Linked DNA regions of Drosophila melanogaster. The protein of the gene in region 3 interacts with the protein of the main gene of each other region in a biochemical or structural test. Each region holds a gene or a part of one and is shown on either strand. Other genes may lie near its edges.

The links. The genes of interacting proteins can lie anywhere in the genome.
Region 1: the proteins of dpr9 (region 3) and DIP-epsilon form a complex in vitro, tested with the Drosophila melanogaster proteins (one study listed by BioGRID).
Region 2: the proteins of dpr9 (region 3) and DIP-delta form a complex in vitro, tested with the Drosophila melanogaster proteins (one study listed by BioGRID).

Annotation. Positions count from the first base shown.
Region 1 is NT_033779.5:6,408,313-6,413,024, reverse strand, and holds the start of DIP-epsilon (Dpr-interacting protein epsilon), read left to right. Parts: upstream 1-1,698; 5' UTR 1,699-2,198; intron 2,199-4,464; 5' UTR 4,465-4,641; coding exon 4,642-4,712. Other genes in the region: CG13982 (uncharacterized protein), read right to left, coding at 167-321.
Region 2 is NT_037436.4:5,422,152-5,427,122, forward strand, and holds the start of DIP-delta (Dpr-interacting protein delta), read left to right. Parts: upstream 1-1,957; 5' UTR 1,958-2,124; intron 2,125-4,971.
Region 3 is NT_033777.3:15,074,163-15,079,160, reverse strand, and holds the start of dpr9 (defective proboscis extension response 9), read left to right. Parts: upstream 1-1,954; 5' UTR 1,955-2,125; intron 2,126-2,874; 5' UTR 2,875-3,031; intron 3,032-4,998. Other genes in the region: CG6974 (uncharacterized protein), read left to right, coding at 1-631.

The DNA.
Region 1 (4,712 bases), on a different chromosome or scaffold from region 3:
CTGTGGCACATTGTTTTGTGGCAACCAGCGGCCGTTGCATAGTTTTAGGCTGTTGACCCCCAACTAGCCAATTCCACCCCGTGCTTAGCCACTATTGATTGGTCAGCGGATTTGCGCGCGAACGAAAGTCAGCGGAGTTGAGCTTCAACTAATTGGCCCCACTCACCAGAGCCAGCTGTTGGCCACCCAGGACGTGGGGGGAGTTGTCAGTGAAGACGACGTCGAGGAAGTCGAGTGGGTGGTGGAGTCGGACGTTGAGGTGCAGGCGGAGTGGGCTGGTGCGGCGGCAGCTGTGGCACAGCTGCCAAGGCATGAACCCATGGAGAAGGGGCTGCTCCTGTCGCTGCTACAAGATCCTTGCTGGCTTCGATGCGGCTGCACTTGGCATTTCACGTCACTTTTTCGCCAGCCAGGCGCCACATTTCATTACGCTCGGGTCAAGGCTCCGCGGTGATGGCCCCTTCCCGTGGGCTTTCCGATTACCCTTTTGGACTCCGGAGCCCCTTTCAACGCAACTCCACACACTCCGCGGCACAGAGCGTAACTGTTTTTCATGCGCCGAGTGCGTCGACGTCAGTGAGTGACGGTGACGCCCCCACGCTTTCTTGGCTAAATGCTCCGTAAGCCTAGTGACGGAGTTTCTGTTTGGCCCTGCAGCAGTTGGGTGGTGGGTGGTGGCCACCTTTTGAGAGTCAGCTGTTTCGACTGAGTGTTGTGGCTTTCGCGTTTTGCGCTGTCAAGTGGCTAAAGTCAACAGGAGAGCAAAGCGTCTTGTGACAGGAGCTTTCGTCACTACTTAAAGCTTAGACGGACGCTCAAAGTTAATAAATTCACGGCACGGAGCGCTTTCGACTAGCAGTAGCTTTATCAGGGGTAATAACGGGAAATGTTAGGGTATTGCAGGACCGACATGATGAAGCTTTGCTTGGGGTGTAAAATGGGAAATGTTAAGGCTTGTAGGACCAAATTGTGTGAGCTTTGTTAGGGGTTATAAAGGGAAATGTAGAGCAAAGAAACCAAGTTCTTTTATAAATTTCTCTTTAATGAAGTTTGTATTGCAGCATCCTCTTCTTAAGATAGCGATGTTAACAGCAAGCTAAAGAAGTCTTGCCTTTTGAACTCTGACATTTATGGTCACAGAACTTGGAAATGCGTTTGCAGTCCCTAGCTGTAAATGTGTTAAAGTGCTAAGCTATTATTCCATTATGCCCGCTCAAAGACCAAGTAACAAATGTTCAATGATTAGCGAAGATGAAAAACATGTTTTCACTGTAAGACAGATGAGGGAGTTTTGAGGGATAACTCAAAAATGCTTACACAAGTGATACGCCCTGCTCTATTATGTTCAGAAAGAAATAATACGTTTCTTTATTTAGCTCACATATGCACATACTAATACTGGAAATTCTGCGACCTTTGGCTTTTCTCACATTTTTTCTCTCACATGATGAACATAAAATTTAACCCGCCGCATTAGCTGACGGAACGGATAGTGGAGTGGTGCATTAAAACACTCGGCGGATCGTTGGATTGATTGTTCGCTGTTTTCGGGGCTGTTAGTAGCAGAAAGTGCTGTTTGGCTCTGCAGCCAGGGCTATAAACATATGTAAGCTAACATAAATCACGGCCAACCGCAACATTTGTTTATCTTTTTAACATGCCGCAGCCGAAGTGAATCGCACGACGGGATGCTGCTGCCAGTGTGAAATCGGCTGTCGTTTCGTTCGGTTGTCGTTAGTCTGCGGTACCGCATCCGCATCAGTATTCGCAGTCGCAGTCGCAATCGCTTTTGAATCCCGAACCCGAATCGGTAACGGTATCAGAACCAGAATCGGTTTCGTTAGACGTGCGTGGACGTGGTCTTTCTTATTTGCACTGGCCAAATAGTTTAAAATAGTATTTTCGATTGGCATTAGTGGCGGCGAATGGTTGTTGTAAATCAACTGCTGTGAGTGCTTTTATTCGATATCCCATGCCATTTATGCACCTCCGCTGCCCACCGGAGGAGCTGCTGGCTTTGTGACGGCGTCTGTGTGTCTGCCGCGTGGTCCCCTAATTTAGTTATGTTGCAAAAACGGAGAACGGCAGAGGGAAACATGAAAATCCGTTGTTATGTTGTCTCGCTGCTCTATTTATAAATTGATTTGCTGATTCCTGCCGACATCTGACGCCCCATCCAGCAGCCAGACATTGCCACGGTGAGTTATTAGTTTCTGGAAGCAGGGCGACATCGGATGGAGGAGAACGAAGTTGCAGATGGGGCATCATTGAATAGTGAGTTCGCAGGATGGCCTGTTTAGGGAGCTGCATCTTTTACAAAGGATCCTTCCGAATTGGTTTACATCTGCTGGGAGAAGCTGTGCAGGCAATTGATTGCACTTTGAATGTTTCATTAGCCGGCTTTCAAAATAATGCGAATTGTATGCAAATCTAACTTCAAATTTAATTTTCTTTTTGTTTCATTTATGAAACTAAGTACTAAATGCGTAGCAAATTATTATTATTATTTACATGGCCAATGGCATCCTCGTAAAGACCAATATCTACTTGTTTAAATTAAACCATCCTCTGTCTTTATTTCCAACTTAAATTGTGCGTTTCCAGTTCCCGCGGCACAGTCTGACTCAGATATTTATATATCTTCCTGACGGCCGTCTACGTGGTGGCAATGTGCACCGAAGTGCAAAAGCCGGCTACTATATATGTAAACAAACGTGCAGAAATCTGCAATGATTGTCCGATCGAAAAGATTAATATACCGTGGAATGAAATCGTTTTAAGAGGTAATACGAATTTACGATGCGCTGTTTGCGGTTAGTGTGAAATTGAAGTTTTATGTTCACTTCAGTAATAAATAAACACAATCGTCATTAAAAAGTTAGCTCTAAAGATCGAATCCTTTGGGTGACACAAGCACTTGGTTGAATTCCCTGTGCTGTGGAAAAGAAAAGAAATAATAATTATAATTAAATAATTAATTTCATTTTGATTGATTGATTCGGTTCGGTGTGATTATAGTGCAGAAAGGAAGCACTCCTTTCTCATGCTATACGTACTTTTACCCGAAGAATACGATAGAAGATTTCTGCGCCACGGGCTTGTTGCTATTATTCGTTATTCATTTTTGCGTGTGAAAGGAAATGTAAATTGATTTATTATGCAAAAGCGAGTAAATGCTCCCTAGGAGACGGAAAGACAGAGCAGAAGTCAGACCGGCGGAGCATTCACCGCTGGCTCCTTTTCATCATGCGGCTACATCACTTCGAAGATGTGGGAAATATCCTTTCTGTCTGCGGGGCACAAACATTGCTGTTTACAATGATTTAAATGCATTACGAATTCACGGTCCATTTACATTTCGCGGTTAGTTCTATGGATGCAACAATCGTCGTCGCGTGAAAATACACCAGACAATACATTTTGGTGTACCAAACTATCACGTATTTATGTCATTCATACAATAATACATATATTTTTGACCATCAGTTGGTTGCTTATCAATCAGGTGAACTTTGGGTCATTAACGCTTAAATCTAAAAAACACATTTTATAAGAAACAAAATTGAATCTTATAAGATGTCAATGGTTCACTAAAATCTTCCTCAGCATAACGTTCAAAATCTTTGTTTAGATATCACAACCAAAATGAATGTTAAGTCGGCCGGCTTAGAAATCAATTAAGTTTGCAATTCGGTTTCAATAACCCTTACTTAATGGAAAATCCACAACAGCTGTCCCCAAGGAGGCATTCTAATTGAAATGCATTCATATTGCAATAGAATGAAGAAATTGACGAGACTGGAAGGACCTCCATGGGTTTACTTGACTGCCGTAGCCGGAGTGTAAAACAACAGCTGACAGAGCAAATTGCTTTTCGCTTATGACACGAGCAGGAATTAAAAACAAGGAAAAAATTCTTCTATGCATGCATGCAGCAAAACAACCACGAAAAGGAAGCTGATAATTCTGATGGTGACGATAACGTTGTCCCTGGCATTTGAACGGATTTGAGGTCGTTCGGAGACTTAGGGTTCGTCACTGCTCTGATATCTTCCTAATGCTGATCCTCTTTATTGAAAACTCCTTAATCCGTGAAAAAGATGCAAGCCAGGTGTGGGTCTGGTTAAAATGGCTCATAAAAATCTTAAGCATAAAAAATGGTGTGTCCGCTCGTCTGTCCGTATGTATGATATACAAAATCTCTTCAACTATTATAAATTTGAAAGCTTAGATTAAAGTTTATAAGATATGATTAAGTACGGTTGTAATCAATAAGCCGTGTAAAGGGTATGGGATAGCCGTGTAACACGAAAACAGGTCTCATTCCTTGCGGTAAATGGAAAATTGAGCAATGACAAATTAAATGTACACTTAAGCCTAAAAGCATGAAGCCATGTATAATTTCTTTTTTTTATTAATATTTTCATCAATAATGGCAACCTATAATTTCTCCTCATATTTCAGGGGTAGCGTGCATAAAAGCCAATCGCAATTAAACGTTGATCGATTCCAAAAGCAAACACAACATGAGCCGGAATATACTGTAATGCTGCACAATATTTGTACGCAATAAATAATTAAGTTTTCTTAATTGAAAAGCTAAACAACGGTAAAAAAAAGGGGCATCAAACTTACAGCAAAATGGCATACCACCTCGAAGCGATTTCTTCGTTTCTGTATGTGGGCCTTGGTTGCCTGATTGCCTCCTCTGT
Region 2 (4,971 bases), on a different chromosome or scaffold from region 3:
GCACACACAAAAGTTTGCACGGGACTTCACAATGCGTGGCGCCTTTTAATGTGACCAGATCGGGGGAAGTGGAAGTAGGGCGGTCGCAAAATAATGGTACTACAAAATGGTAAGATTAGTTTTATCGATTCTCTGATATGCTGATGCCTCATTATGCCTAAAGTGCCTGCCATATGTTCGTAAAAGGGTCAAAGGTTAAGCACTTGCTCGAGTTTGGACCCCCAAGCAACTTTAGCTTACCGCAAACCACAAATCGCCGTTTAAATATTAATACATCAATCCACTTAATATGCGAGTTTATGCCATCGAATGATGTAATAAATATAAAAGAAGGAGCCGCAGACACTCGGATAAAGATGATGCCCATATGCGGATGCCGTAAATCCTTCCTCGGCTCCATCTGCAATGTCTGTGGGAATGGAAGTCTCTCATCCACTACACTTTATGATGAGTTTTCCCCGGTTGGCTGATGGATTCACAAGTACACACATACTGTAAAGGGACCACAAAGAGCATCTCCATTAAAGTTACAGTCAGACTTCAATGGATTTCATATTTTTTGGGCTTTCCATTCTGGTTCTTTGACTTTTTCATTTATTGCAGCTGGCAAAAGTCAACCGCAATATGCCAGTAAAGCAAACAAGATTGTAATATGCCGAAAACAAAACAAATTCCTGGTATAAGAGCGCACTTCCTGAAATCCAACTTAGCCTTAGCAAGGCTGGCCTTCACTGCGGTGGTCCTGGCATAAAGGAAGTGGGCTCCTTGTTTACTTGAGAACTTATAAAGAAAACATCAACTTGGATTTCCGACACAACTGTGGAGAAGGGAATGGGTACAACAATACCGGGAAAGCAACTACTTCAACAGCATTCTAACCGTCGGAACCAGCGGATATGAAAGCAAAATTTTGCATTAAAACTTAAGAAATCATTGGGCCTTCCTCGTAAGAGGTCCCGAGATAAGAAGGCAAAATAGAATATTTCCCTTGGCTAAAGATTGCGTAAGGTTCTGCCACCATGGTCATTGCGTATTTGTGGGTTCGCTTGTGCGTTATGATTGCACGAGCAAAACCAAATGCAAATTCAGATTCTGTTGTGATGGGCAAAAGGGCGTCCACGAGTTTAGTAACAGTCTTTATCATTATTTGGTAACATAATGTACTAGTCTCTTTAAGTTTCACAGCATAACACAAGTGGTTTGCAGTCCACTGAAAAGAATGTTTCTTTACATACACTTTCATATTTGCTGTTATAAGGAAAGAGTAATTAAATATTTGCAATATGTGTAATACTTTATATAAATTCCCACAACCAAGTGTTATACCCGTATTTTTATGGGTAACAACTTTGCTACCACTTTAAATTTCTTACTTATATTTTATTCCTTTTCTAATCACCTGCTTTACCCATGTTTACCTTTGCCCGGCTAAAAGCGAACCCAATCCCCACATAAATACCCATTCAAGTTCAAGTCAACCCTTAAGGAGGCCTAAAACCGCAGCGTAAACCAAACGAGGGAACAGCATTTGCCGGTTCGCTCGTTGGATTTAATTTTGGCTTACACATTCTTGGCCAATGAGATTTATGCGTTGCTTGCGAGTTGTTGTAACTGCTGTTGTACTTCTTCCGCTCTTTTCACCCACATTTTTGTCCCACAACAGCCCAAGTTGGGGGATATACTGATATAAAAAAAAGGGCGCAAAATGTTGTTTTGATTTGGCTTCCGTTTTCTCCTTGAATTTCTTTCTCAGCAAAAGCCGAGCACGTGTTTCGTTCGAAAAACAACGACGCTTGCGCTGAAAACGTTTTCGAAACTGAACGAAACTTTGGCCGTACTCATACACGAAGTCCAAAGCGAGTGAATACGAATGGAAAACTTCGGTTTTCGGATACCCGAAGCCTTTTTTCCTGCTTTTGCCAATGAAGCGAACCATTGAGCGGCACGATTTGAATTCAGTTTGACTCGAACCTGCTCCGGAAGTAGAAGTCAGCCCGCGAGTTTCCATCGCAAGGGAAAATTCTCAATAAAACACAACAAATTAATCATCTTTTAATCACAGTTAAAAACGAGTTAATTGCAAATTACTCGCTCGTAAAAAGTGCTCATACCTAAACATACAAAGTAAACCACCAAGTGTGTAACAATTAAAATAAATCTTGTGTTAGTGCGGTTGGCCATAAAAATAATTCGTGTCGCAACAGCAGGCGACAATAAATTTTGCGGTTGGATCGTTAAAATTTCGCTTTACCTGAATGCAACTGAAGCCGGAAAATAGCAAATGAGAACGCGGAGTTTTCCCTACCATTAACTTTTTTTTGCAGCAATTTGAATTCGGGGGAAAATTCATTAAAAATACAGCTGAAGCTCAAGACGAGAGACGCTTGCTCACTCAGCCCTGTGCCACATAAATTTCACGGCAATCAGCCGGCGCTGCAAGTCATCCAAACTTCATTTGTTGCTACTTGGGCTCAGGGCTCTCGGTTCTGCTTGGTTCTGTTTTTCCGTTTTTGCTCCTGCAGGATCTGGATCCTGCCCCATGGCTCCTGCAGCTGAAATATTGCTTCCATTATTTATGTTAAGTTTATGCAACATTCTCCCTGCTGCTGCTCCCACCAGCACAAGTCCTGCTGCAGCACAAGTCCTTCCTCTCTTGTTTTTAATATCCTTCAGCTTGTAAAGGAATTACTCCTCAAGCCGGCAACTAAGAGCAAACTCAAGTCTCACGGCATTCGGCTCCTGGTTATCCACCATTTTTATAGTCTGCCTTTATTTTTGGTTCGTCTATTTCCATCATTTGCCTCGTTATTCAAACATCATCATCTTTCTGGTTCAGTGCACTGGGCTCGGGAAAAGTGCGGATAACAAGGAGCGCCATGTTATTGCCATCGAGTGCATTAATAAATCAATTGTTTTTTGCATCTCAAAGAGCTCGCTTTGCTCCAGAGATTGACAGGTCGGAAATCTGAAATGTAATCGCTGCCAGACGAAGCAATTTGCCAAGAAATGAACTCTAATTGGGTTCACTTGGAAAGTTATAAAGGAAAACGGATAAAGGCGGTGAAGAGCTCATAAATTTGCTTGTTAAACACTTGAATACATTAAAGCCCTTGAATCAGACGATCGCAAAAGGTGCGTGGAACAGAACTGTCAGTTGAAGTTGACTTTGAACTTTTAAAACTTTTGAAGAATTCAGTAAAAATCAGCAATATCCGAATATTAATTTAAATGTACAATATAATGCCTCAAGCTAATTTAAAAGTTGGAAAAATTTTAAATGAGCCAAATGCTTTCAACTCAAAAGGCAATCTTAAAATTCGCGGAAACTAACCATAAGCTATTTAGTTACCCAAATGGACCACAGGAAAATGTGTGCTTCTATGTTTTCGCCTCAAGCTCATTAACTGCTCGGAGCTCTCCCTACTAGATTGTTATTTTTCCCTCAGCTCACACAGAAAGGATAATAGGGGGAAAACAGGAACATTTACTAATTAGCACTCCCAGGCTGCACACAATGAATGTAAAATTATCAAATCGTTTTCTGCGCATTTTTTTTTTATTTTTGTTTAGTTTGTTTGTGGTATTAAAAAGGAAATAAAGGAAAAGATTCCTTGGTAGCAAATGTTGTGGGTGGACGAAGTGAAGTATTCATGGCAGCGAAACGAAAACGAATTTCAATGCATTTTTCAGCTGCACTCTATGACATTTTTAAGCGTGCACTTACAAAAATTATTAAAAATATGTTTTTGATAAGAACTTGCCAGAAGATTTTTGCAATTGAAAGCGAAAATATAGTTAAAACCCAAATTAAAGAACTTCAAATTGTTAAATTTAAGAGACATACTTTTTGAAAATTATTTTAAAATATAAATTAATTTTTATTTTATTTTAAATATTTTTTGAATGCCAATTTGGCGGTGTAGTGTATCCACATTCAGGCATCTGCAAACAATTCCATGTGCGCTGGCTGTCAGATCTGCAGGAATTGCTCAGCTGCCTGGCCGACGATTCTCCTGTCGCGGAAAGAGACAGCCTGAATGGGCAGAAAGAGACGGACTAAAGGAGATGACAGCCATGAATGGCATTTCTTCTGCTACCTCCGAGCATAATTTACATTGTATTTCAACTTGAGTGTGCAGTTGAGGCTGTCTTTTATGGTTTGTCTTGGCTCGCTTCGGGCTTTTCGTTTGGATTTTTCCCGCTTTCAGCTTTTATACAGTTCTCTTTGGCGAACGAAAAGTTTCACTTGTCACAGGCTATGGAATTTGCCGAGTAAAAGGCTTTCTTCGCGTTACGCGAGCGGAAACCTTGGTTAGCTACAATTTATACATGTCGAGCTTGTTAAGTTGTGATTGCGCTCTGGCCTAAAAGTGGACTTCTGGCTACGTACTGATTGCATCATAATTACCCAACTGCCTCCGTCCCTGATTTTTGCCCCTAAGTGCTTTTTAACGAGCTCTCTTCGGTTTTGGCTGCTGCTGCTGCTGCTGCTTTTGCTGTTTGTTGTCCGTTTGAAAAAGGTCCGGAAATAGGAGGGCAAAAAATTTCAAACATTTGTTTTACCCCCCGACACAAATGATTTTCTGTCGTAATTTTCCACCAGTGAAACCAGTCATGGTCATTTCCCTTTCAGCCGCTTTTCGAACTCTGTCGTTATAATCTGCTACATGGACCCCATAATTTGTAATTTCAACCTAATTACTTCAAGCCCAGCCGAACGGGGATCGGACCAGCTAAACAATGTTGTCCGTAATAAAATGTCAAAAACCAAAGCAAAACGCCCATTTCGTCTGATTTACACACACACATGAAGACCAGAAGGACACGCCCCCTCACACGCACAGTGCGTATGATTTCGGTTTTTGTGTCCTTTGCTGGTGACATATGTTAATGATCTGGCAGCGATTTCTGGGTCATTTAAATTGATTTTTACGCTTGTCTGTTTATTTTTGTTATTTAATTAAAATGGAA
Region 3 (4,998 bases):
GGAGGCCAAAACCCGAAATGCATTGACTTCTCCACTCCAACGTTGGCCAGGCAATAAGATATTGTACCGCATATCTACGGACTACAGTGAACAGGAGGTAGCCAATGTGCGGACAGCAATGTCAAGTTTTGGCGAGCAAACCTGTGTGCAGTTCGAAGAGATCGAAGGAGCTCCGCCCGCAGGCAAACGATATGTGTCCTTCAAGAAGTCGCCCAATATGTGTGGCACTCGAGTGGGCTATCAACCTCTGTCCTTTGGTCCGCACGAAGTTGTCCTTAACGAGAAATGCCTCACTATGCCGGCTGTAATTCAACACGAAACCCTTCACCTGCTGGGCCTTTTCCACGAGCAGAGTCGTCCCGATCGCGATGAGTACGTGCAAATCGACTACGACAATATCCCGAGGAAATACTGGTCGCAGTTCATGGCCATGGATCAGACAACCACCTTCAATGTTCCATACGATTACGAGAGCGTTATGCACTATTCGAAGAACGCCTTCGCCAAGGATCCCTCAAAGCCAACAATTCGTGCCCTAATCGGTGGTAAGGCTGTGGAGAGGGAAATGGGTCAGGTGCGAGGACCTTCCGAAGGGGATTGGACCAAAATTCGTTTGATGTACAAGTGCTAGAGTGGAGGAAGAATTCTGCGAGGACTAGGATTGGTTAATAAATATGTTGCGTTCTAAAGTGGATGTGTTTAAATGGAATGGTTTAATATGCAAACTTTCAGACCGATTGCATGGTTTTTCAATCTTTTATGGCTTTTCATTTAAGTCTATCACTAAGTCATTTAAGCCCCACCCACCCGAAAAGTGCTACCCGTTTAATGCTACCCAATCATTCAGTGTCCGTTAACTGGAAAAACGTTTTTCCAGCCTCTTGAAAATGGGTAGCCCCGCTCGAACATAAAGGAAATCCAAATCCAAGCCCAAGGCGAATGCATTTGATTTCACAGAAGTGCAAGTGTAAGTGTCAGTTAACTTTGAAGCAGACTAAGGAGCAGTTGGGGAAGAAAGCGGGGCTTCTCAATGCTGAATGGGGTCTGCCGTGGATTGGGCATGAGTCCAAACGACTGGGCAGCAAACAATCCGAATCCCTGGCACTTAATGTGCACTAAGTGCTTAAGAAGGCCGAGTGTCTGGAGCTGCCTATTAGAAGTCTCTCACTCCCCTGGCCAGTAACCACCCACTTTGGATCAGGATACCATTTCATGGATAGCAATTGCGGAATTTAAATAACCTTTTTAAATCCCTGACAGCTTTGCAAAAATCGAATTGTACGAGTTAAAGAATCAACCAAGCAAGAAGAAATTTTCATCTGCTTAAATTTAAAGAATATATCTTTGCTATAAAGAATCCAATTATTTTGACATGAATTATCTTATATGCCCAGATAGAAATAATATTTACTGAAATGTGACGAATATTATTTAATAGCTTTGACCTTTAAAGAAAACTGTCAGAAAACAAACCAATAAAAGCTAATAAATGTGCCGCATGGTAGTAAGAGAGTATTCCTGTATCTCCACTAATAATTTAGCAACAACATACAACGAATGTGTAAATGTTTGCTTAAAGGAGAATATAAATAACAAACAAAAGAATAAACGCTGTAGTTTACCCTTTTGAGTGGTACAAAATAGCACTATTGGCAAGTGTTGAGTTCTGCAAAGCGGGGCAAAGAGTTGTGGCTTCGTAAGGATGCCAACAGATGGCCATTAAATGCTTGCCTTAAGAGAGCCGGATATCAAAGAGACTCCACATGTTTCGGGAAGTTCGAAAGTGCCATCGGTGAGAGTGAAGACCGACTGGAAGTGAGCTGGCAGGATGAATACATTTTGGCCCACTGTTCTAGGCGGAAAAGCTCGCTCTCTCGCCGAAAAAGGGGAAGAGGAAAATGGGAGCTTTGGCTGGTCGCCTGGCTTTTCAAGCCGACGCCGTTCGTGTGGCTTTCAGTGTATTCAGTGCAGTCGTATCGTTCGGTTCGTTCTCACGGTGAAAAGCGGTGGAAGGTCCTGTTCGGAGGACAACCTCAATACGCCACTCACACACGCACAAGTGGGCTTACTCACACGGACACGGGTGCGCTAGTCGAAAGTAAAAGTTGTCCAGTGTGCCATAAAGGTAAATAATAAATGAGCCAATGTGAAATATACGCACGCAATGTGAAAGCAACGAAATATATGAAGAAATCTACGGAAAAATGAAAATCTAGACCTGCGTGCCAGTGTGCAAAATCAAGTATGCAACACTTAAGTGAAACGAATATCCCAAAATAAAGTGTGCAAGAGTGCCAGCGATCCTTGAATATTCGAGTACCAAACTAAAATACTAAGCCAGACTAAAACTAAAAACCGAACCTGCCCCAACTGATCCTTCACCTCAATTCTTACCTATCAAGGCCACACGGCGGCTGTGGCATATTAACGTTGCACTCGTTGCACGTTGCACATACAGCCAACTCACACAAAAAATGTTATTCATCTTCGCGTGCTGTTTTGTTTTTTAAGACCGCCAAGGTCGTCCAGGAATACGTATATCTCTTAACGCGGTCCGAGAATTTTAGAAATAATTATAAGAAATACTTTGGGGTTTCCTTTTAAAATTTCTCGGAAAATGTTGCGATTTTCCCTCGTCTGAACTTTTGCTTTTTAACTTTTTTCTTTCGCCTTCCCTTTGGGGCTCATAAATTAGGGTCGCATTCCGCTTAACCGGGAATATTTGCATAAAATGGGAAAAAGGGCGAGAAATGGTTTAAATACGGGAATCACACGGCTGAGATATTCAACACATGAAAAAAAGGGGGCATATAAAATGAGTTCACAGGCCTTGATGGGTTGAGATAAAGCAAACATTAAAGTCCCTTTATTTAGATGATAAAAAATTGAAAAACAAAAGTGAAAATTAGCACTGCGAAAATTCCAAGGTTCATAAAGATTCGGTACCGAAACTTTTGAGTTTTATCAAAAACCCAAACATCGAAAAATTTGCAACAAAACAGGATCAAAGGACAACAGCAGCGCAGCAAAGGTGAGCCCTTTTAATTTTATTGAGCCAATTATCCAATAATTTCATTAACTAGTTAACACCAATAATCATGTATTTCCTTACAAAAAAAAAAAAAAAACAAAAACACATATCAACCAATGTGTCATTGTTTGAGTTTGGGTGGTGCGTTGGTTTTCCCAGTGGCGGAAAAGCCAAGCCAACGGGTGGTACGGTTACATTTTTATTTATTGTGATATTTTTTTTCGCTGTTTCTCTTTGCTGTGGTTAGAAGTTGTTCAGGAAAAAATGTTGCCGGTGGGAGGAGCTTGGATTGTTAGCTCAATTTAATTATGAAAATGCCAAGAATTTCTCTGGGCACACACGTGCCTAAACATACAGGTGGGTGGTATTCCAATCAACTTATTTTATTAAATGTTGTGGGGGAAGGACACCAAATTTATGCTCCTAAAAGCTTATATTAAGACTCACTGATGGAAAGGTGTTATAAATAATAATGACTATTTTTAATTAATATACAAACGGAATATTATAAGTGTTATAAGTATTTGAGAGCTACTTGTTGGTTAATTAAAATTTTATCAGGCAACTGAACATAAACCTGATTCAGTTACTACGAACTGAAATTTTGTTCTTCGGAAACATACTAATAAGCCTATTTAAACTCTTTTAAGTTCTTGAAATTAATTAGCTAATGATCCATTATTTATAATGAAACATTATTGCTAAGAACCATAAATTCGCGATGGGTAAGGCTTACATTTAAATAGGTCACGTGAAATGCCTTCGTTTTCAGTTTTACTAAGAGTCGTAGCTTTCCACTCATGTGGCACATATTTCTGTGGCATCCACCACAAATTTCCATTACTGAGATTGCCTTAGAAAATATGCTTAGATGCTACACCTTTGACCACTTTCCCAACACCATTACCTGTGAGCTCAGGGAAAAGGTAACTAAGACTTTCCGCCCGACAAGATTGCCATTTTATGCTAGACATTTTCTAAGAAAATAAAACAACATTTTATTTACACGCTGCTTCAGCAAGGTCACTTATTATGGAACTTTGCGCGTCAGAAAGTTGCCCAAATACATAAATTATTTTTATTGTACTTAACCTTTTTTTTTTTTGCCTTGACTTTCCCTATTCATTGTCTGGCCCAAATCAGCTTAAGTCACACAGAAAAGAAATTCATAAGCTTGCTTTAAGATGCGAGTAACCGAAAGATACAAATAAGTGAAGTAGGCCGAACAGAAAATAGGCTTTAAAAGCTGTTTGGTTACTCTATAAAATATTTCGGTTGAGCTTATAGAATTTCAGAACGACATTAATAACCCTTCTTTCGTTAGAAAAAAAAGGGTTATAATATTGAGCCAAATTATAAGCAAAAAATTGTATTTTATGTGCATGGTTTCCTACAATTCATCGAATTGGATTGATACAAAAAGTAACTGTAGCTGATTAAACTTGCTTATGACTCTATGACCTGAATATATTTTCCCATTTAATCAGCTTACAATTGTTGCAATATTTTTTTAAATGGCACAATAAAGTTGAAAATGCAATGGAAGTGCAACACAAAACGCGTCCATTATATTTGTTTTGGCATTGACATATTTACTTGATTTAAATTTTTATGAATACCCTTTTGTTTACTTGTGAAACTCTTTGAGCGTACAATTTTGAATGAATGAAATATTATGCAAATGTTTGATAAATAGCAGGAAATCAAAAGCAAACAAAAGGAGAAAATTGTTAAGCAAAAATATAATTGATGGCAATCGCACACAATTGCAGCCGAGCGAAGACATAATTAAAAGAAATATATATGTATATGTATATATGCGTACGTATGGGTGTATTAATCAAACATAATTACTCTGGTCATGCATATTTGATTAATCGGTTAAAAGGAAGGTCCTGTGGTCGTGTTCCACTTTTGTTTGACCTGACAGCTGTCGCTTTAAATGTCAATGCATTGATGACCCATCA